Rhinolophus ferrumequinum: one gene and its partners. The protein of the gene in region 1 interacts with the protein of each later gene in a pairwise test. Links are inferred from orthologs where the notes say so. Each region holds a gene or a part of one and is shown on either strand. Other genes may lie near its edges. The genes, in order: EHD3, RBSN and MICALL1.

Region 1 (7,668 bases):
AGGGTTCTCACCCTAAGATCCAAGGCGGCCCTCAGGCCCCCAAGATTAGGGATGTATGTGTATTTTTCTAAAGATAGTTCCACAGTTTTCATCAGATTTTCAAAGGCGATATTGTGCTTTTAAAAAGTTAAGAAGCAATGGATTAGATTCATAGCTAAGGGCCCTTGTGTTTCTAATAATATAAGAGATCCAAAAGCCAACACGCCCATACACCTCCTTCCACTCCCCGACCTGGGTACCAAACTTCTTCAGAAATCATTCAGCCTCTCAAAGCTGCTGAGCCCAAGGCTGTCCACCCAACAAGGGCGAACTTGATTTGGCGTTCTGTTCAGACACAAACTGTTAGTGTGGGGCATGCCCTGCTTGTGGGGCTTGTGTTATAAGCTTAGCGTTACAGAAAATTCGTATTTAGAAAATCAGTGACCAGACTGTTAACTTTGCTGCTTTTCTTTCCAAACAAAGCACAGTGCTTTGAATGTTGCAGGTGCTCAGTCAATGAATGGAAACAAGAGCACCCCAGCTTTAAAACTTGCAGAGGATGAGCACTATAGGCTCTGGGGGACCACCAAACCCATCGCTACACTGTAGGAGCCAACTCAACACAAAGGAGGAGCACAGGCACCCTCAACAGCGTGGCCATGGCTGTAAACGAGGCCAAGCAAAATGGCCTCGCCTTGAAGGTTGTGTGGACTGAGGGCTGGAGAGAAGCCTGTGTTCTAAAGATAGAAAGGACTCTCATCACTCGGGTGGACAATATGCGGACTTCTCTGAATGCAGGGTGGACAAGCCGACTTCTTCAGGATCCCTCCAGCCCAAGGATTCTATCATTCAAGGGAATGGATGACTCATCCTCAAAGTTACAGGCATTCAGCCAAGCATCTCCTCCCATGCATCTAAGACCGGCATCCCAGGTTGGCTTCCTACCCAGTTATATGACTATCGATAATACATTTAACCTTTCTACGTCTCAGTTATCTCACCGGTCAAGTCAAGGGGCTGCAGAAGACAACCATCAATATCCCTTCCACTTCTAAAAGACTTTAATACTATTACTGAGCCATTAAGATCAAACAAGGGAAAAGAAAAAAGCATTGTTTCTGGATACTGCTTCAGTCCAGTCTTCAAAAGATATGTGTAGCAGTTTTGCTCAGAGAAGGAAACTGATAAAAAGACAACTGGCACTACCAGGCAGGGGATCACAGGGTCCCCAGCCCACCTCCTCAGCTGCAACTGTAAAGCCCCCATTTGAGTAGCTGAAGCCTTTAAAAGGCAAGGGAAGTGGTCCTGGCCATGAAAGATGTGCCCCTAAAAAGTGCGGGCACTCCCATCATCATAAGGTACTCTTTTTTTTTCTTAATCTTTTTTTAATTTAAAAAAATTTTTTCAATTACCATTGACATACAGTATATTAGTTTCAAGCATACAAAACATCGTACTGATTAGACATTTATACATCTCACAAAGTGATAACCCGGTAAGTCTATTACCCATCTGACACTGTCCATAGTTGTTACAATATTATTGACTATATTTTTTATGCTGTACTTTACATCCCTGTGACTTGTTTTTTAATTATAGTTGACATTCAATATTATTTTTTATTAGTTTCTTAATCTTTTTTTTTTAATTGGGGAATACTGGGGTACACTATGCCACCCCCCCCACCGGACCCATCAGCTCCACGCCAAGCCATCGCCTTTTTTTTTTCAATCTGGTTGTGGGGGGCACAGCTCAGCTCCAAGTCAAGTTGTTGTCTAGTTGTGGATCATAAGGTACTCTTGGACCAGGAATTTTCTCACTTGTGTCTCCTGGGCCTTGGTTTCACTATCCATCAAATGGGAAGAACAGGGATGGCTCCAAAAATTAACACTTCAAACTGACCACCTGAGCCAAGGGCTAAGCAGGCGAGGCACTAGATAGGAGGGGAAGCTGGACAAACAATGAAATCGTGGGATAAGCTTTGGGGATGTACACACACACACACACACACACACACACACACACACACGGATTTCGTCAGAGCCCTCAAGTGAAGACTGTCCCCAGGCAGGAGAGAGTGAACCGAGGGCCTAAGTGCTGGGTGGCAGGTGGGCTGTCTGGGCCCTGGACCAGCTCACCTGATGAAGGTGGTCTTCCCAGTGGAGTACTGGCCCACCAACAGGATCATGGGCTTGTTGTCGAAATCGGCATCTTCCAGGGCAGGCGAATGAAACTCGTGGAAGCGATAATACTCTTCCAGGGGCAGCAGTTTGGTCTTGTAGAGTTTCTTGAGCCCCTCGCTCACTGTGTGGAAGACCTCCGGCTCCTTTCTCCGGTCGTCGGAACCCAGCCAGCTGAACATCGCGGCTGCTGCTCGCCCCTTGAGCGCAGCTCCAACAGGAGGACACGGAGCCCCGCGTCCCGGCGCCCTTGGCTACTCGGGAAGATGCTCCGCAGGGCGGGCCAGCCAGTCTGGAGCAGCGCCGCCGCCTCACCCGAGCGCCAGGCTCAGCTGTACCATGACCAGGGCGCGCGGCTCGTGGGTCCCTGGGGCGACGTCGCGGGGCCGAAAACGTGCTCTTCCCAAGCTCCTGGGACCAAGCCCAGCCCCTTCTTCATCCAGCAACCAAGGCCGGAGGGAGGGAAAATATCTAGGTTGGGCAGGAGGGTTGCGATCTTGGAAATTAAAGTCAAACCTGTAATTAAACTGCTAGATGCCGGCGTTCCCCTCAGACCTCTCCTGCTCTGGCCCGGATCCAGTTAGGGGACGCTTCGGCTCTGCTCCTGTCAAGCCAGGTCGCTCAGAGGAGGCGGCGGCGCTGCCCACTCCGAGGACAGCTCAGCATCCGCAGCCGCAGCCCGCAGCCCCAGCCGCGGGTTTAAATGCCAGCGGTGCAGGAAGCCGGCTCGTGGAGGAAGTCCCCGAGTACTGGCAAGGCCGGCCGGGCCAGCGGGTCCCAGCAAGGAGAAGCTGAACAGGGCGCAGCCATGTTTGTGGGCAGGAGCTCTGCTGGGGATCTGTGGCCGCTGCCTGGGAAGGGAGGGATGCTGAATCCCGTGGGAACGCGCTGGTATTTCAGTCATGGCTTCTGGAGGTTTGATTTGGGAACAGCGCCCTCTCAGGGACAGCTGAGAAGGCTGAGTTGACCTGCTCATCACTCCGCTTTTGAAAGGCCTTTTCTTTAGTTACTGAGTTCAATTCCTTAGGAAGACAGGTACTCTAATAGTTGGTAATATTTGTGGGGGGAGGGGAGGAGAGCGAGCAGGGATGGGAAGAAGAGTCCAATACCAGGTTACAAAACGACCAGAACTGTCACTAAAAACTTTGCTGGGTCTAGGGTAAAATCAAAACCATTCCCATTCATTCATTCATTCATTCATTCCAATAAAACAAAACAAAACAAGGAAATGCCCTGCAAGTATTGAGCCAGTACTACAGGCTCACCAATTTTGGTGGCTGTAGACACAAAGTTGATCACAAAGATGAGCAATTACAGGCTCCCTTCCAGAAGCTCCAGTCCAGGCCGACTTTACAGAGGAGGTATAAGCTGAAAGCCAGGGGTTCACAGGGGAGGAGGCGTTCTTCTTGTCTGGATAATTTGAGGAAGGCTTCACAGAAAGCATGACTGTGAGCTGGATCTTAAATGATGAATCTACAGAGAAAGACATTCCAGAGTCAAGGTCATTTGCAAAGGCACGGGAACATGGAAGAACTTGGTGTGGTGAAGGCCGAATAAACAGTTTTGCTGGCTAGAGTGTAAGGTTCAGGGGTCGGGGAAGGGAGTCTAACGCTAGGCCCTAACGGCTTTGCTTGCCCACATGGGAATCATACCGGGGATAAAGCACCAAGAATAATGTTATTACTAATCACTGTTAACACTAATTAAGTGTTCTCTATGTGCAGGGGCCTGGCCTAAGTTCACAGCGAGCATTGTACCATTTGACCTTCATGGCAGCTCTATAAAGCAGACCAAATTGTCTCCAAAATCATACCAACAAGAATGGAGGTGGGAACAGTTGGCCAGGTGTAGGCAAAAAGGGGTTCATTGTCTGTAGGGAACTTGAGAGCAATAAGAAAACCAAGTCATAGTCAGTCTGCTTTGTCTGAGCACCGTTCTAAACAGTGTCAGTGATAAAAGCTCGTACTTGCCAAGGCAGTTGTCTCCCATACACTCCCTTCCACAGATGAGGAAATAGAGCAGGCTAATGGTCCAGGGGGAACTGCTAATGCTGGTAACAGTTTGGGGGAGCGACTGGAGGAGCAAAAGAAGCTGGAGGCCAAGAGACCAGCTAGGACACTATTCAAAAATTTAGGAGACAGTGGTAATCGGGATGGGGAAAAGGTCGTATTCAATAAAATTTTTATGGCACAGAAATGACAGATTTTAGTAAGCAATAAAAGAAAGAGAATAAGGATAAGGCAGAGTCTAGGATGATTCTGAATATTCTACTGTAGGGGAGAAGGTAGTTGGAGACACTGTTCCATCAATTAGGGGACTCGGGAGAGCAGATTTAGCATTAGAAGATGATGTGTTCAGTCTGAAACGTGTGGCTGAGGTGCCTGTGGTAGCCCCAAGTAGAAGAGTATGCTAAGTGAACCTGTGGGGATTTGGGCAGGAATTATCAGAGGTGGGTGCTGGCTAGAATCTTCCTACTTACAGCTCAGGTCTCCTAACTCCCACCTTGAACTCCAGAGCTGATTGCCTCTTTCTGAGCTCTCTGAATCTCTGGTAGGAACCCCTCATTAATAATTTACCCTCAGTGTTTACATTAGCATTGGCATATGAGCATAAGAGGCAACATTCAAAATATTTAGCAACTCGCAAAGCATGGGAATGGAGCAGTCACAACAGACTTTTACCTTCCCAGTGGAACAGGCCTAGGCCCCAGCTGTGCCGGTTGTAGAGGTACAAGAGAGAATGAAAAGATATTACAATACATAAACCCAATAACAGAGCACCCAAAATATATAATTAATGCCTGTACATTAATAAAAAAAATTCCACTAGAAAAAAATTTGGCAAAAGACACAAAAATTCCTTTTATAAAAGATGCTACATGAATGTGCTGTAAACACAAGAAAAAAAAAACGTTAAACCTCATTAGTAGTGTCTGGAACTTGGAGAGGTCTAGGTCTGTCCAGGGGGAGAGTCCAGGATGATCAGAGTGCCAAGGGAGAAAGAGGGGGCGCCACTGTGGAAATACTTCAATATTTTATTAACCAGTACAGCTATGGTATTTTGTACCACTGACTGTCAGCCCCAAATATCTAATTTATTGAGTGTCTATTGACACATCTAACTCTAGCTGTCAGTCCTGAAGAGTTGGAAATCTATCTTCTTTAAAAAAGAGTTGAGTAATAATGCAGCATTTCTATATATTAGCAATAAAGACAATTTTTTAAAAAGATACCCATTGGCAAAAATCAAGAAACACAGGACTATGCAAGACCTTTATATGGAAAATGATAAAACGTAATGGAAAGACATTATAGAATTCTAAATAAGCGAGAGAGACACACCATGTTTAATTATGGAAAGATTCCATGTCACAAAGATGTAAATTCTTTACAACACAATTGCTAGAGTCAATAATTGATAGAATTTAAATTAAAATCTGAACAAGGTTTTCCATAGAAATTAACAAGGTGATTTTCAAATGTATATAGAACCATAGTCCAAGAATAACTAAGATATTCCAGAAGAAAAAAAAAGAGGAGAAGGAGGAACAGGAGGAGGAGGGAGGGGAAGGAGGAGAAAAAGAAGACAGTGACAACAGCTCGGTGAATGGAACCTGCCCAGGCGGAGATCGTTATTGAGTTGCAGTGGTTACGATAATGTGGTTTTGGCAGAGAGAGGCCGATAGAACAATGACACAGTAAAACAGCCAACAAATATGGAAACCTGAACTTCTTCAACAAGACACCAAAAGCACAAACTGCCAATGAAAAGATTAATACATTTGGCAATAGTCAACTTAAGCACTTGTGGGGACAGAGTCCCAGAGAGCAGTGTCCAGGCTCTCGGACTCACATGGAAGGGTGCTGGCTCGGTTATTAGATGGCCATCAGCTGTAATGAGATGGCTATTCACTGTGGCTGGGCGGCCATCAGCTGTTACCAGTGAGCCATTAGCCACTAATATAACTGCCGTGGCTATGCTGACAAGGGGGTTGGTTGGTTGGCAGAGAAGCGGACAGCAGATTGCAGATCGTGTGGTTCCTGCTTCCTGTGTCTCCAACCCAGCCGCCAGTGAGAATATAGTGGTATGAACCCTCTATCCATGGCTCCGTCGGTGTTCCTTTTTGGCCTCACCATATCCTACGTTCTTGTGCAGGGAGCGGGAGCAGATACCCTGCATGATACTTGGCGCAGTGAGCAGGGTATGGTGCCGGCCAGAATTTTCAAAGGGGTAATGGAGCAGTGTACACGTATGAAAGCTCTGTTTCGGGAGGCCCATGAGGAGTGGCTCTGGGAGCAGGAAACGCAATATTCTTGGGAGAAATGTGACCCCTCAGTGAATTGGTGGTCCTCTCAAACCTCTGGATGGCACGCCACCCTATTGGCCAAAGAAGCATCATCTTCCTTTTGGTGGTCTGCTGCTGCCGTGGGCTCCTAGAGTTATGGACATCTTGTGCCGGGGCCACCACCCACTTGGATACCTGGTGCTGCGAGCAGGATTCCGGCCAGGTAGGAATGATGTCTGACTCTGGACAGGAGGACATGTGGCCCCCACACAGTGTGTGGTGCCCAGTAGCTACTGTTCTCAGGAGTTGGATCCCCGAGGAGGGGTGGGAAGACTTGGACGGTTCTCCAACCAGCATAGCCAAGAGAAAGTGAAGGTCGTTGCAGCCGTGTGGGCTGAGAGGTGCTTGCTGAGGCAGACCAGATGCGGGACTTGTAGTCCCAGGAGGAAACATTTGTTGAGTCCTCGGTGGAGGATATGGATGAGGTCATCCCTCACCCCCAGGTTGGAGAGGACTTGAAGCCCTCGCCCAGCGGAGAGGGCACACATTGTGAGGCCAATGCATAGCCCTGGTGAATGACTATGGATTATGGGGAATTGCCTTCCATCCCTGATTTGATGCACTGCTGGACTGTGCTTGGGAACGTACCACCATGTAGTGGAACTGGAGGATGTTTACGTCCTGTGTCTCGCCACCAGTGAGACTGGTGCAGGAAGACCCTTTGGTGGGGTACAGGCAGATGTTTGCTTCCTGTGTCTCGCCTGGTTGCCATTGAGACTGTGGTGCAGGAAGACCCCTTATTGGGGTGCAGGCGATGTTTACTTCCTGTGTTTTGACTGGCTGGGGTCCAGAATATGTAAGCACCTTGGCTGTGAGCCACTATTATTCCAGCATGGTACCCTGAGAAACCCTGGCTGTGCCCAGAAAGTCTGGCTGTGCCCAGAAAGTAGGTGGACATCGCGGGACACCCCCTGGGACATTACTTGAACTGGACTGAAACTTTTTATCGTGAGCTAGGTTCCTGACACAGGGCCCCTCGCGGAAGATGCTTGTCACGTAGATGGTGAGGCGGGACCCTGGAAGGATGGAGTGTGGGGACAGAGTCTCAGAGACCAGTTTCCAGGCTCTTGGCCTCACGTGGAAAGGTGCTGGCTCAGTTATTAGATGGCCATCAGCTGTAATCAGATGGCCATCCGCTATGGCTGAGTGGCCATCAGCTGTTAC
Region 2 (7,893 bases), on another chromosome or scaffold:
CCTTTACTCGTTTTTTTCTTTTTTCGATGCACTTATGACTGTCTAATGTACTATAAAATATACTTCTTGGGTATAGTTATTGTTTAGTGGCTGTGTCTCTCCACTAGAATATCAGCTTCATGAGGTCAAGAACTGCTGCCTGGTTTAGCTCAGGCACCCACGTAGCAAGGTGCTCAATACATAGGTTGTTGAATGAAAAAAATCACAGGCCTAAGTCAATTTCTGAGTTAAACTGGAGTCACAAGACTAAGGTGTTAGATGCTCTACACATCAAACTCTTCAATATCTTATTAAATACTTAAAATACCACATGTACACAGATTATTTCAAATCTGTGTTTGAATTGGGGTTAACTTCTCAACTGACTGGGCGTACATATCTCCAGAGATTTAGCTCAGAGGAATGAGTTCTGAAGCTGCAGACAACCAGTGTGATTTTCTTCTCACAACCTGAGGACCATGCTGAGCCCTTTACTCTCGTCCGTCGCCCTGGGACCCTCTTGGAGGTATGCACAGCACAGTTGAGCGGGTGAGTGGGAGCAGAAATCCAGTTTGTGACCCACTCACTAGGCACAGGGCTTGAGTTCTGGCACAGGGCTCCATCCGTGGAAGCAAGAGGGGCCTCTTTCCCATTCACCAAAGGCCCCAATAGGCTGGCAGTGGCCCTGTTTTGTCAAAGGAGATGCCAGCCGATAACCTGAAAATTGGGTGGCCTTGCAGTTCACATGTTAATACCATATTTTCTACTTAACAAGTCTGTTGAGGCTGCTACTCCCCACCAACCTCCCCCACAAAATTCAATGAATGTGCGAGTAGTTATTATTTGATTCCATTCTGACTTCCCATCTGGCAGGGCCATGACTCTCAAAGATATTTCCATGATACCAGATAGGATCCTCGCATCTCCAATGACAGTGTCTGACTCAGCTTGACACAACTGCCAAAGCATTTAAATCACACCTCCCTTCCTTTTTCTTTAACAAACATTCACATAGTCCTTCCTATGTGCCAGGCCCTGTTCCAGCACTGTATTAACCGATTGAATGCTCCATCCTAGGAGGTAGATGGTATTATTCTCCCATTTTACAGATGAGGAAACTAAAGCTCAGAGAATTTCAGTGACTGAACTGGGACCTCACAGCTGTGGGGCTGGGATACAAACCCCAGTTGACTGGCTCTGGAATCTGTGCTTAGAACAGTTATGACTGGCTACCTCTTAACTTTTTCTTGTTCTCCTTTTCTCCCTCTTTCCCTACTTATTTCTTTCCCTCTCTTCCCTTTCCTTCTCTCTTTCTCTCTTTTCTTTTGTCCGTTCTCTGCTTCCTTCCTGACCCTGAGCAGCTGCCACCTGCTTCCCCTGGTCACCACCCAGCCTGGCACACCCTTTGTCAATTCTCCAAACCAGGCCCTGCCCTCCTGTGACCCTGTCAGTCCTTTGGTCATTACTCTGTTTTCCCTGTGCCAGCAGATGGGGTGTGCCAACCTCTGTCTCCTCAACCTACCTGCTCATGACCACAGCAGCAGTTGTCAGAGGCCTGGGCCAGCCTGGAGGGAAGCTGGATCTTTGGGGAGTTACATGCCGTACCGCACACCTTCCCCTAACATACGCTTACTGACATTATGATTTCCCTCTCCTGCACAGGTTTTTTAATGTCATGCCAAGACATCTTGTGCTGCTTGAGATGAACTTAAACAATAAGGGGTCAGAAAGAGAGAGAGAGAGACAGAAACAGAGACAGAACTCTAGGCCAGAAGGCAAAGGTGAAGGAGCCCTTGTCTGAGACTCGACCCTTAGACGGGGCTCGCCGTAGTGCTGGGAAGATGTAGTGCCTTCATAGTATCACTCTAGGTATGAATGAATTTTTCTGTTTCTCAAAGGACACATGTTCTTCCCCAGGACCATGCTTTTGCATATGCTGTTCCCCAGGCCTGGCAAGCGCTTCTTGATCATCTCTACTTGAGGGCTCTGCGCATGTGTTGCTGCCTCTGGGAAACTTTCCCTGAATTCCCACAGGGGGTTTCATCAGCCAGAACATCTGCACACATGTGCACACTTCTCTTTCTCTCTCTTTTCTTTTCTTCCTTTCTCCTTCTCGTTCTTCTTCTTCTTTTTTTTTTTTTTTAACTAATTGGATTATGTTCCCTGCCAGCTGAGGCCTCCTTGAAGACTGAGACTGTCTTGCATGATTCTCTTCACTTCCTCTATCTCTATGCCTGGGACATGGTTGGTCCCCGGAAAATGCTGAGAGATGAAGAAAAGCTCAGAGATCAGGCCTTCACAAAGGAAGGATAAGTGGGGGTTGTGAAAGTCTCAAGACAAGATGACTCTGGGTTCAGTACTTAACAGCTGTGTGATCTTGGGTAAATTACCTAATCTCTCTGTGCCTCAGATTCCTCACTTACAAAATGAGAATAATATTAGTTTGTACCACATAGGGTTATATGAGGATTAAATGAGTTAAAACATGTAAAGCACATAGAACAATGACTGGCACATGCAAATCACTCAGTGAATATTAGTTATTATTACTAATATTAAAATAGAATTAATAATAGAGCTGCCCAAAGGATTTAAATAATGAAAGTGCTTTTGATAAACTGTAAAGCATACAGGAAGATCTTTGCCACCATCATTCTTAAAAATATCAATAGAATAGCAGTGGCTGATCCAGCATGATTTCCGGAATTAATTCACAAGCTGCCGGCCACATTACTACTTTTTTGAGTAAATGAAATGGTGAATGCGACACTGGCTTTTGTAAATGATAGAATAACAGGCAAAATCATGATGGTTTAATAAAAGGTTCATCACCTGACTCCAAACATAGTCCTGCTGATAAGTGTGGCCAGTTCTGGGACTTATCCGGCTCCATACATTCAAGAAGGTGTTTTCACTCTTTTGGTTACTCGGAAACAAGGCAGGAGGTGGCGGTGGGTAGGTAGAGCTGGGACTGATGCTTTGCTTCTGACAGGTTGGCAAGTCTCTTGTCTGTGCCAATACACAAAGGGGAGTCACTGTCTACTCCTACCAACCCTATAAAGTTAAAAAAAATACATATTTTTTGGGCTATCAGATTGAAAAAAACAAAAGAGCTCGAAAGTCTTTAGAACCCATTTTATCTGTTTAGATGGGAAAACTGAGGCCAGGAGAGGGAAAGGGAACAGTTGAAAGTCACACAGTAAGGTCTCTGAACCCCCTACCTCACTGCCCTTCCACTGGCGCTTGCTTTCCAAAATCTCTATGCTCCCCACACTGGAAGCCCCACATCCTTAAATAGAAGGTGAGGCAAGCCCAGCACTAGTTGCAGAATCAGTGCTCCAATTTAGAGGTGGAGCCACTCCCCAGCCCCCACCCCCCAACCTCCCTCTGCCCTGGCAACCACCAATACTTTCTTTGTATCCATGAGCTGTTCTTTTTTCCCAAAGATTCCACATACTCATATAAGTGAGATCATACAGTGTTTGTCTCTCTGTCTACTTATTTCACTTAGCATGAATGCCTTCAATGTCCTTAGGTCCATCCATGTTGTTGCAAATGGCAAGCTTTCATTCTTTTTAATGGCAGAATCATATATATATATATATATATATATATATATATATATATATATCACATCTTTATCCGTTTATCAATCAATGGACACTCAGATTGTTTCCATGTCTTGGCCATTATAAATAATACTGCAATGAACATGGGGCGGGGGGTGGGGTGGGGCATACATCTTTTTGAGTTTAGTGTTTTCATTTTCATCGGCTAAATGCCCAGAAGTGGAATTGCTGGATCATTTGCTAGTTCTCGTTTTATTTTTTTGAGGAACCTCCATACTGGTTTTAGATAGTGGCTGCATCAATTTACATTTCCACCAACAGTGTACAAGAGTTCCCTTTTCTCCACATCCTCGCCAATACTTGTTATTTTTTGTCTTTTTGATAATAGCTATTCTAACAGGTGTGAGGTGGTACCTCATTGTGGGTTTTTTGGTTGTTGTTTGGTTTGGTTTTTGTCCACGTGGGAATTATACTGTATGCGGTGTTTTCTTCCAGTTTTACTGAAAAACAATTGACATACATCACTGTATAAGACATACAGCATGGTTTGATTTACATGTTGTGAAATGATTATCACAATAGATTCAGCTAACATCCATCTTTTCATATAGATGACAACCAAAAGAAAAGAAAAAAGGATAAAGCAAAAAAAAATTTTTTTTCTGTGAGAACTCTTAGTATTTACACTGTTAACAACTTTCCTGTATATTATACAACAGTGTTAGCTATAGTCATCATATTGCACATTACATCCCTAGTACTTATTTATCTTGTAACTTTTGACCACCCTCCTCCAATGTCCCTTCCTCCACCCCTTCATTGCAGTTTTGATTTACATTTGAAAATGTCAGATTTCCCACAGATTTGACCACGCTGTCTACCCTCTGAATGGATACTTCCTCTCATTATAAGTCTCCACTCTCATGTGGTTCTATTCCGGATCTTTCCACAACCTCCAAGTCTCCAAAATATTCCTTTTATCTCTAGCCCTCAAGAACTTTGACTCAAATTAATTTAGAACTGTAGCTGGGGGTAGGGTAGGAGGCGTTAAAGACCCCACCCCCAACCCTGCTGCCTCATTCATTGCACACCTTGGTCGAAAGCTAAAGAATTACATCATATACAAGCTTCTGTTTTCCCACCTGTACCACGGGGTGGAGAGCAAGGGGCTGGCTTTAACGCATTATACGTAAGTACCTGGGACGTCAAAACGTTGCAAAATTACTGAGCTCACCCTGCTGGTTCTTACAGCGCCTGCGCAGAAGCCGCCGGTCGCCCAGCGCTTTTGGAATCTGTCGCGGCCCCTTTCGCGCGCTGGAAGACTCGGCGCTCCGTGGGCGTCTGTCAGCCTGTCTTCCGGTTTCGGTGCTGCCACAGGAGCGCCTGCCGAGCGCCAAGTAACCGATGGAGATGGCGGCCGCGCCGGTGTGATGAACCGTGGAGGCCCAGAGCCCGTGCCAAGGTCTGGAAAGGCCTGCGAGCCCGCGGGAGACTGGCCGGTTACCGAGGGTTGGACTGGGCCTAAGGGGCCGGGCGCTGCTCTCTTCGGGCACCGAGACGGGCGGCCGAGCGGGTGTGGGACCGTGAGGTTGGGGTGGGTGTGACATGCGTAGTGGAGGAGGTGGCTTTCGGGTCTTGCTGTTCGCTCGTGTGTGCTTGCGTTGAGTGGGCTCTGTTTGGGTGTGTGGTGTCGCGGGGCGTGTACAGTTGTGTGTGGTTGTGCGGCTGAGGGGTGGGTGGGTGGTCGTCTCCCGGGTGGTTGTGTTTGGTTCTCTGATTGTGTGAGGTTGAGGCGTTTGGGGTCTGAGTTTTTGTGTTGTTTGTAACGTTTGGTGTGGCGTCTGTGCGATGTGTGAAGTTGTCATGTCTGCCCTGCGCGGGTGAGTCTTTCACGTTGTGTGTACTTTTGCGACGTGTGCCTAATCGTGTTGAGTGAGGTGGAGGCGGGTTGTGTGCGGTCGTGAGGCTGTGATGAGTGCGGCTGTCTCTGCGGCATCGGCTGAACGTATAGGTGCAGAATACGTAGGTTTTATTTTTATGTTTTGCTCGGTGTACAGTGTGGGCTTGCATACGTTATGGTTGTGGGGTTTGGCTTGGTGGTTTGTGGTAGATTTCTTTGGTTTGTGGTGTGTGTTTGGTTGTCTGATCTTACAGTTCATTCATTGTGTTTCTTGTAGTTTGTGCCAAACATTGTGCCAGACCTTGGGGATATGGTGGTGGAAAAACAGACATGGAATCTGCCCTCACCGAGCTTCCAGTCTCATGTGTTCAGTTACTTTATACACTTGTGATTATAGATTGAGATCAGTGCTGTGTAGAAGTGCAGGGGCTGTCAGATGGGAGGAGGCCTCAAGTCAGAGGCATTTCCTTGAGGAAGTGAGGTTGGATGGAGATGTGAAGGGTGTGTGTGTGTTTGATTTGCGGTATTAAGGGTGAATTCACAGAACAGAAGGGGGCTGTCAGAGTCAGGGTGTCAGATGAACCACTGGGTGGGAAGAGAACTGGAGCTGCTATTTCAGTGACTATCTGGAAACGCGGTGAGATTTGCTTATATATAGTCATTGGGTTTCTCAGCTAGAGGAAAGAAACAGACTTTGTTTATTTTCTGGGTCACTGCCACCCTTCAGGTTTGAGGACCAGGCCGTCCCACCTCAGTGGCCCTCTACGCAGTGGTCCGTCTAACCTGAGGGTCATACAGTCCCCCTTACTCTCTACTGTGGTTAGTGAACTCAAGCTCTTGGGGAGAAATTTCTCTGCTTTTGTGAAGTGGTTTTGTGGTCTGGGTTCTCCTTATGACCGGGAGTCTTTCTGAGGTGACATTGGAAGTGACTTTGCCATGGCCCAAGAAAACTGAAACTGTAACTTACTAAGCCCTGAATTGTTTAAGCACGAAATCCTTTGATTTTTAAAGCTGTGAGAACTTTTGGCTTCCTGCTCAACTGTCACTACTGGTTTATAAAATATAGTAAGTTCATTGGAGAGAAAGTGCTTTACAAGTATAAAACACAAAATAGATTTTTCTTTTTGACCACTAGGTTTCTAATGCTCCTCCTTAGACTGAGGTAGGGATTTTTGTTTTGTTTATTAGGGCAGGCACTATCTCTTTTTTATTGTTGTATTTTTGACATTGGTGCAAGAGCTCAATAGATGTGATTGAATCAATGATCAAAATACAGAGAGTTCAAGAAAAACTCCTATTTGTTGATAAATACTTCAGACATTACTCCTATGATCTACAGATTATGAAGTTGGATCATTTGGAATGAATGTTAGAGAATTGCCTGGGTATTGTGTTTGCTGTTGAAGTTGAATTTTCCTTTCGTATCTTCAAGCATCTGTGCTTCCCACTTTATTGAGCTGCCGTTGTCCTGTGATGTTCTTCTATCTTAGATGGTTTTATGTTTTGGTCTAAGGATTTGAGAAAGCAGTTTGCGTTCTCAAACATGTACTGAACAAACATTAAGTATCCTTGTTGAATGATGGAAAGAACAAAGAGAATTCTGAATTGCTGCTAATTTGCCTGATTGGCTTTCCCCCGCCCCTTCTTCTTTCCTTTCTTAAGGCTTCTCCCACGGACTCCAGTGAGGAAACCTCGCCCAGGGCCATGATACCACTTGCACATCATCTGTGTGCTGCCTGGTTAAGTTAATGCTGCGGGAGCCCTGGTCCTTTGCGGAGGAATCCAGCTGAGGGTTGGCATGAGGCTCCTGCCTTGTGCGGGTTGAGAGGGACACTGTCATGGCCTCTCTGGATGACCCAGGAGAAGTGAGGGAGGGCTTCCTCTGCCCTTTGTGCCTGAAGGACCTACAGTCTTTCTATCAGCTTCAGTCCCATTATGAAGAAGAGCACTCCGGGGAAGACCATGATGTCAAAGGGCAAATTAAAAGTAAGAGGCGAGGAGTTTGCTTATCCCGTTCTGTTCGTGGGAGCTTGAACTCCTGGGGTGGTTTTCATCAGCTTCTATGTTGCCTCTGGAACATGATATTAACAATCATAAATGGATAACAATAGCCACAAACATTTATCTAGCGCTTACCACGTGCCAGGCTTTGTTCAAAGTCTTCCCATGAATTAACTTCATTTAATCCTCACAATAGCTATGCTGCGATGAGCCCCATTTTACTGATGAGGGTATCAGACACAGAGATTAGATAACCTGCCTAAAGTCACACAATGAGGCAGAGCCCGGCTTTGAACCTAATAAATGTAGTTACTGTGCTCTGCTGACTGAATTGTCTCATTGCCAGCCTCCGAGGGTTTTGGAGTGGAATTCTTTTCCTTTGCTATGCAAGTGGAGGCACATTGTTGACTCATTTACTTGTCATAAATTCAAGCCTTCCTGCCA
Region 3 (7,397 bases), on another chromosome or scaffold:
CCTCAGAAAGCTATTTAACCTCTCTAACCCTCAGCCTCCTGGTCTGTGAACGCTGTGAACAGGGTGAGGGGACCCCAGCCTAAGCCCCCGACAAAGGCTTGTTCCCAGACCAAATGAGACAAAGCAACCTGGCCGTTTATTTCCGTCTCCCCAACAGTGTTTCCTCAAGGCTGGGGTCACATTTTGTTCACCCTGTGCCCCTAACACCCTGCATAGTTCTTGGTACTTAGTAGGTGTTCAATACATGTTTTTTGAATGAAGAAATGCTGGAAACAGTGTGAAAACTATACAGGCTCCCGAGATATTACAATTCTTCATCCTTTCCCCCACCCCCATCTCTGTCTCTAATCCACATCTGGGCTTTAGTAACACAGATTTTCTGAGAGTTTTCAAAGGCCTGGGAAGTTCTATTTGGCTCTGGGGGAGATGAAGGGCACAAAAATGAAACCCACATGGTGTCTGCCCTCCACGGAGCTTAAAGACGCCTGGATTGGGGGAAGCGGGCAGTGAACCAGCCCCTTTACCACGCAGCACAGCCACACCCCCAGCAGAGCCGGGGCCCACAGCGCCAGGAGCTTGAACCACTTCAGAAAATGATTCTTGCCCCACCCCTACTCTCGTGGAAAGCCACTCTATCCATCGCTGAGGTCCTCTCTGTGCCATATGGGGCACACGGGCCTCAGTTTTCGTCCTGGGTGGCAGGACAAGAGGGCTGTCTTGGGGGACAACGGGCTGGCAGCCCTGGCGCTGGTGATTCTGGATCTTCTCAGGAGGGGAGCCGCCCTCCATTCCAAACCAACTTGAGCCACATCCCTCCCCTTCTTAAAACCCACATGGCTCCGCACGGCGCCATTCACCCTCCTTAGCCAGCAAGAGGCGGGAAGCACTCTGGCCCAGCTACTGCTCCGGGCCCTCCCTGCCTTGTGCCATGGGCTACCTGTGGCTCTGCTCAGGTGTTCCCTCTGCCCCAACGCCCTGACCTGGCTCCTGACATCTCCTTGAGGACTACGTGACATCTGGGAGGCATTCCCAGCCCAGCCCTCTGACACAGCACTTCCCACGTGGAATTATCATCCCCTGCTTTTACATCTGTGACCCCATAGGCTGTGGGAGACCATGTGGGGTTAGTCTCTTTGTTGGCACAGTGCCAAGCACAGAGCGGTAACTCTGTAAATACTTGTTGAATAAATGAAAGAATAAGACACTCACCACCTCCCCCCTACTGTCTAATTATACTACTTATAATAACGCAGATTAATTGAATGCTCATTACCTCATTGAATCCCCACGGCACTCCTGTGAGGTCAGTCTTATTATCAACCCCACTTTACAGATGAGGAAACTGACGCCTGGAGGGATTTACCCAAGGCCGCCAACCTGGGACATGGAGGGGCTGAATGCAAACCAAAGCAGCCTGAGTTTTGATGCTGGCAGGCTCAGGCCCACCACACAGCTTCGCTTGACACCCAAGTCTCTTCACACACTGGCCATGTCCTCTGCCTCCTGCCTCACCGCCTGTCCCTCCAGCAAAAACAAGCCTCCACTCCAATCCGGGTGCCCTCCTCCGTCCAAGTCCCTAGTGCAGTTGTCCCATGCCGCCCAGCAGGCAGTGCCCACCTACATCTCCACCTCATCTTGTTTACTTCTGTATCCACACCCCCAAAACACTCTCCTCCAGGGCCCAACACCGGGCCCGACCCGTCAGCCACAGACATTGTGCCACACAATACACAGTAACCCAGTGCACGTGCCATCGAATCCTTAAAGCAATCCTTTCCTTTCTTCCCTCCTTCCTCAAAGCCCTCCCAGGTGCCAACCTCGGGGAGAGTAGAGCTGGAAGTGGAACAGACAGAGAGACTCCAGGACCTGCCAGGCTCAGGTCACCCTTGGCGGGGGGTAGGCAAGCCAGGCAAGAACCATGACTCTTGTTCCCAAATTGAACATTCGATAGGAAGCAAAAAGAATGACTGGCACCAGATAAACTTTCACTTAGTGTTTCATAAATGAATGAATGGAATGGATGGATGGATGGATGGAAGAGGTGCCAGGGCCCAAGGCATAGGGAGCTGATAGAAGCCCTAAGTCAACTTCAACTGCTCTGGAGATCTGAATAAATTTTCCCACGAGAACCTCACTGGACAGCTGGGGGCAAGAAGGGGGCATTTCATACCCTGGAGCAGCCCGTGGATGGCTATCAATAGAACACATTGTGAGTCTTCACTTGGCCCTCCTGCCCCACTGAAGATGGCAGGGCCACTGCACACACACCTGATCTGTGTCCTAATTGTGTGTGTGTGTGTGTGTGTGTGTGTGTGTGTGTGTATGTGTGTGTGGGGGTACATCCATTCATCCAACCAGTTAACCTAGGGGCCCCTCCGTGCCAGGCACTGTACTAGTGCCCTCGAGACAAGATCGCATGGGGGAATCAGAGAAGTGAGGTTCACTGCACTCAGAGCCAGGGGGGCTCCCACAGAGGGAACAGGCCTCAACGCCTCACTGAGAGTGGGGTGCTCAGTGTGACTATTTGAGAGGAGTTTAGTGGAGGCCCAGGGTTCCCCCGAGGAAGGTTCGGTGCCCCTTCAAAGAGTCAAGGCCTTGGGGGGCTGTGTCCCTTTGGCGAAAATCACTGCCCTGTGGGTGGGGCCACCCCCCTCCCACCCCTGCCGCGGAGGGACCAGCAGGCGATGGTGGGTTCTGAGTTCCAGTAGGCGGGGTCAGAGAGGCCTGGTGGAGGAGGGGGTGCTCCGGGTTGGGGGTCTCAGTGACCCTCAAGGCGTTCTGGGCCGGTCGGTAGGGTCGGCGTCTCGGTCTCCGGGGGGCGGCGCCAGCCACCGCCCGGGCCCCGCGTCACTGAGGGGGGCGGGGGTCCCCGGCCCAGGCCCCGCCGCCCTGCGCCCCGACCCTCCCGCCCGCCCTCCCGGCACTCACAGCAGGTCCGGCCGGTGCCGGTGCAGGATGGCGCAGAAGGCCAGGCCGTCCCGGAAGGAGCTGCTCAGGTCGCGGACGTCCACGCCGCGGTAGCCCTCGCACTGGCGGCGGCACCAGGCCAGCAACGCACCCCGCGGCCCCGCCATGAGCTTCACGGGGCTCGGCCCGGCTCCGGGTGCCGCCGGGATCAGGCTTCACCCTCTGGCCCGCCACGGGCGGCTCCGGCGCGGCCCTGCTCTGCGCTGCTCCGAGCTCCGGGCGCCGACCGGCTGGCAAAGGGCGGGGAGGAGGCGGGGCCGCGGCCTCGGTGTCCTAGGCTCGGGCTCCGGCGCGGGGTCCCGGCTCGGCTGACTGCTCCCCGCCCGGACGTGCCCGGACCTGCCCGGCCGACCGCCGCCTACTCACTGCCGCCGGCTCCGCTTGCAATGAGCCGGCCGCGGGCGCCTGCGTCCCGCTGGCCTCGGTCCCCGCCCGCCGCCGCCGGGGAGCGGGTAGGGGGCGGCCGCCTGCCGCCCCACCCAGCGATGGCTCCGCCCCTAGACGCAGACCCCCCCCCGCCCCTCCCCCCCACACGCACAGGCCCCGACACCCCACCGCCCCTCTCCTGGGCGATCCCCAGGCTGCCGTTCCCCACGGTGACCTCTCAAAGAACTCTGGGACAGCCCTGAACCCCTACCCACCGCAAACTAGCCCGTTCCCACGATGACTTCCTCCACTCCCCACCTGCACCAGGCTGCCCACCGAGAACTCCTCTTCCTCCCATCCAGAATCCTTCACAGTCTTTGGCGGAGAACCTGCAAATCCCCCACCCACCTCCCCTGGCCTGAAACTTTGTGGAGGCATTCCCCCCACTTCAGGAGGTTCCCCTGCAGACCCCACAGCACCCACAGATGGTCACCAGCTTCCCCCACCCCATCTCATCACTCCAAAGCATCCCTGACCTCCAGGTAATTTGGTCTCCCTCCATAGCCTGCCAGGGAGACTCCATGTTCCCCACACCACCATCAGTCCAGGTGTCCACCCAGGGGTGTATTGAGCCTGACCACCTGTCCTACAGAGTTCTCCTGCCCTGCCCTGTAGGCCCACTCCCCACGGGGGCCCCTCTCCTGCCATGATTAGGGTGCTGGTGGGTTGGGCTCCATGGGGAGGGAAGCAGGCCCCTGTCTGGCAGGGCATCGGGGGTCTGGCCTGGAAACTTCCCAGCATCATTCTCCACTTGCTTCCCCTTAAAGTTTTGGGTAAGCGACCCCTCCCCAGAGGCCTCTCCTCCTCCAGGAAATGCATCAGCCTTCCACAGGGCTGGCTGTCAGCTGCCTTGGCGGTGATGTCACTGACCGGTGCAATAGTTAGCTGGGATAGGTCTCTGGCTCCACCCCCCAAGGGAAGGAGCAGGATCTTAGTCACCTGTCACCCCCAGCCCTGGGGGGGTATGGGAGTCACATTGACATAGGCTCCCATCCTGGCTTTCCCCACTTGCCCAGACGTGTAATCTTGAGCTGCCCTGAACCTCAGTTTCTACATCTTAAAAATGGGGATAATTCCTTCTTTACAAGGTGGCTGAGAGAATTAAGATATAATGTGCCTGATCCATCAGTCGTCCCTCATAAATGCTAACTATTGCTACCCGATGTCCAGTACATTTGTGGTAAAATGGATTGAGAACATTTCGTACCCAGCTTGTCATTTGGGCTGTTTTGAGGACATGATCAAGGAGAGAGGCCGACTTGGAGAATCCCACGTCCTCAAAGGCCCATTGAGTCCCATCCCAGGATGCAATGACCCGGGGAAGGGGATCCCGGCCTTGTGAACCCAAGCCAGCCTAACACCCTGGCTCTGAGGCTGGAAGCCCACCGCCTAGGCCCAGAAGGTAGACTGTCAGGTGACCTAGAAAGGGGCTGCCATGGGCCAGGATGCCTGGCCAGCCCTCTTGGCCTCTCACCAGCCTGCGCTGCCACCTCCCACCTTCCCTGTCCTCTATGGGAAAGGAAGTTTCCAGGCATGCTCGTTAAATCAGGGGCCTGGTCTCAGGACCCTGATACCAGCACCCACCTTGGCCTTCAAAGTCCACCAGGATTCTCATTAAAACCCAGGAGGTATTATACCCGTGTCCCTGTCCTCACCAGCCTAAGGGGCTCCCTTCAGGTCCCTGAAGATGGCTCCAGATCTGACTTGGTCCCCGTTGCCCTAATAATAGCTTACATGGTACAGCCCTCTGGGCCCCTATTAGCCATTTCTGTGTTTTATAAACTCATTTCTGAGTCAGCTCATCATGATAGGAAATAAGGGCCTGTGTGACCACAGGCCAGACAACTCACCCCTGTGAGCCCCAATTTCCTACCCTGTAAAATCTAGATGACAATCTTTGTTTTGCCTGTGTTCCAGGGTTGTGGGTAATCAGGTAAGATAATGGATGGAAAAATGCTGTGCAGACTGTAAATCTAGGTTCAGGTAGGAGGTGGGACTGTGTTTAGGTGAGGTCAGAAGCCACAGACGGCCAGGTGAGTCACTGGTCCAAAACCATGTCATAATTTCAGGATTAGGCTAGAGGGCTTTGGGCCCTTCATTCAGTGCTTTTCTTTATTTTGTTTAACTGTCGATTAAGAAGTGAATGCATTGTCCTTATCAAACATTTAAAAATAAACCTGAAGTTTCTACTTGACTGTCTTCTCTCAATCCCAGTCGCCTCCTAAGTGGCAGCCCCCATTGTCAGCTTGACCTTGTGCAAGCGTTTACATTCACAGATCCAACAAATACTGAGCACCTGCTCCCCATCTGGGGAGATAGGGTGAAGGAGACAGGGTTCCTGCCCTCATGGAACTAACATTCTAGCTGGGAAGATGGGCAAGGAACAAACAAATCAACGAAGATGGTGAGAGGTGCTCAGAAGAAAACAAAGCAAGGTGCTGTGATAGAGACCATGGAACCGACAGGGCGGCCAGGGAAGGCCTCTTCGAGGTGGGGACACTTGAGTTGAATGATACCCATCTCCCAAGAGAGCAAGCTGAATGCAAGCCAGTGAGAGATGTCATTGCAGACAGAGCTTGAATCCTTTCTAATGAATTCCAGGTAATAGCCGCAGGTATACCAGTAGTGGGCAGGATCCTGGTGAGAGACAGACTCCTTGCTACTCTGTCCAGCAAGGAAAAAGGAAGCCCAGGGAACAGCAAGCTTCCAGAGGAAGCCCCTGATTGGTTGGGGTCAGGGTGCCATGCTTTCCGTTTACCATTCTTTCTGCCAACCTGCTTTGTTAGGAGGGCTGCAAAGGCAAGCTGAAACACACAGAACCGCTGGGAGTGAGAGAAATTACCATAGAATGAGCAATGGGATGAACGAGTGAATGAATAACCAGGACCTATGGTTTACGTTTATTTTCACACAGAGATCTCAAGATAAGTTTCAGAAAGGTAAAAGGCATAGGAACCGCCATGGAGGAGACCTGGGGAAATTGTGGGGAAAACGAATTTCATCAGTGCTCTGGGAACCTCTGGCTGTTGATTCCCCCTGACTCTGCACCTTTTCAGAGGCCGGTGGGCTGCTTCTCTCTCCGAGCCAGAGGTCCATGGGTGCGTGTGTGTTTCCGGGGGTGGAAGGCGATACCTGGCTGGCCCCCTTTCACCCACCACCTGCTCTCTATGCCACTGACTTGCTGGAAGACCCTGAACAAGAATGTCACCTGTCTAAGGTTTAATGTCAACATCTGTAAAAGGTGGGGGTTTGCCCACCCTATGATGCAGCAGGGCTGTTTCTAGATTTTGTTCTCCAGAAATACTATCCCAGCGGCCCCCGATGTACATACAAAGATGTTCATTGTTCGTTCACAGCAAAACACTGCGGACTGGGTGATTCAGTTTAAGCACAGCTGGACAACAGAAAAACCCACAGCTGTTAACGCCGGGAAGAAAGGATACCTGCCCAAATGCTGTCAGTGGTAAACCTTGGAGTGAGATTGGGGGTGTGGCAGACTCATTTTTTACAAGTACTTATTTTTTACAAGTACTACATATGAGTGGAATCATAAAGTATTTGTTGCTGATTAATTTTTAAACTCTTGCTCTGGTTACAGTATTAACCAGTCACTTAGGGAAAAAAAGTCATTTTCATTTTCTCATACCCACACACATTGTTTACAGTTTCACATTGCTAGAAGCAAATCAGGCTCTAGTTTGAAAACAAAACCAGCCTCAAATGAGCGAGAGGGAATTTGCCCACACAGCACCAGGGCCACGGGCAGATCACTTCAAGATGAGAAATCTGGGTAAGTCAGGTGGAGCAAGCAGAATTTTATATGAAAAGAATAAAAGATGAGGGAGGGGAACTTTGGAACTGAGCTATCCGTCCAGTCCAGACAGCCTGGAGCCTCAACACCTGCAGTCTTCTAATTCCAGAATTTCGTTTTTCTAAGCTTGCCTGACCACCAGATTCTAGAATTCTCAGTTCCATATGGGTCTGACCATTGTGTTTTTCTACCC

What was found.
Region 2: the proteins of EHD3 (region 1) and RBSN interact in binary tests that used the Homo sapiens proteins (3 or more experiments, as listed by UniProt). The link is inferred for Rhinolophus ferrumequinum from reciprocal best matches to the Homo sapiens genes EHD3 and RBSN.
Region 3: the proteins of EHD3 (region 1) and MICALL1 interact in binary tests that used the Homo sapiens proteins (3 or more experiments, as listed by UniProt). The link is inferred for Rhinolophus ferrumequinum from reciprocal best matches to the Homo sapiens genes EHD3 and MICALL1.

What each region holds. Positions count from the first base shown.
Region 1 is NC_046296.1:50,263,727-50,271,394, forward strand, and holds the start of EHD3 (EH domain-containing protein 3), read right to left. Parts: upstream 3,036-7,668; 5' UTR 2,342-3,035; coding exon 2,118-2,341; intron 1-2,117. UniProt on the Homo sapiens protein: ATP- and membrane-binding protein that controls membrane reorganization/tubulation upon ATP hydrolysis. In vitro causes tubulation of endocytic membranes. Binding to phosphatidic acid induces its membrane tubulation activity.
Region 2 is NC_046300.1:41,248,680-41,256,572, reverse strand, and holds the start of RBSN (rabenosyn-5), read left to right. Parts: upstream 1-4,821; 5' UTR 4,822-5,010; intron 5,011-7,110; 5' UTR 7,111-7,286; coding exon 7,287-7,434; intron 7,435-7,893. UniProt on the Homo sapiens protein: Rab4/Rab5 effector protein acting in early endocytic membrane fusion and membrane trafficking of recycling endosomes. Required for endosome fusion either homotypically or with clathrin coated vesicles.
Region 3 is NC_046293.1:9,060,036-9,067,432, forward strand, and holds the start of MICALL1 (MICAL-like protein 1), read right to left. Parts: upstream 3,098-7,397; 5' UTR 3,075-3,097; coding exon 2,929-3,074; intron 1-2,928. UniProt on the Homo sapiens protein: Lipid-binding protein with higher affinity for phosphatidic acid, a lipid enriched in recycling endosome membranes. On endosome membranes, acts as a downstream effector of Rab proteins recruiting cytosolic proteins to regulate membrane tubulation.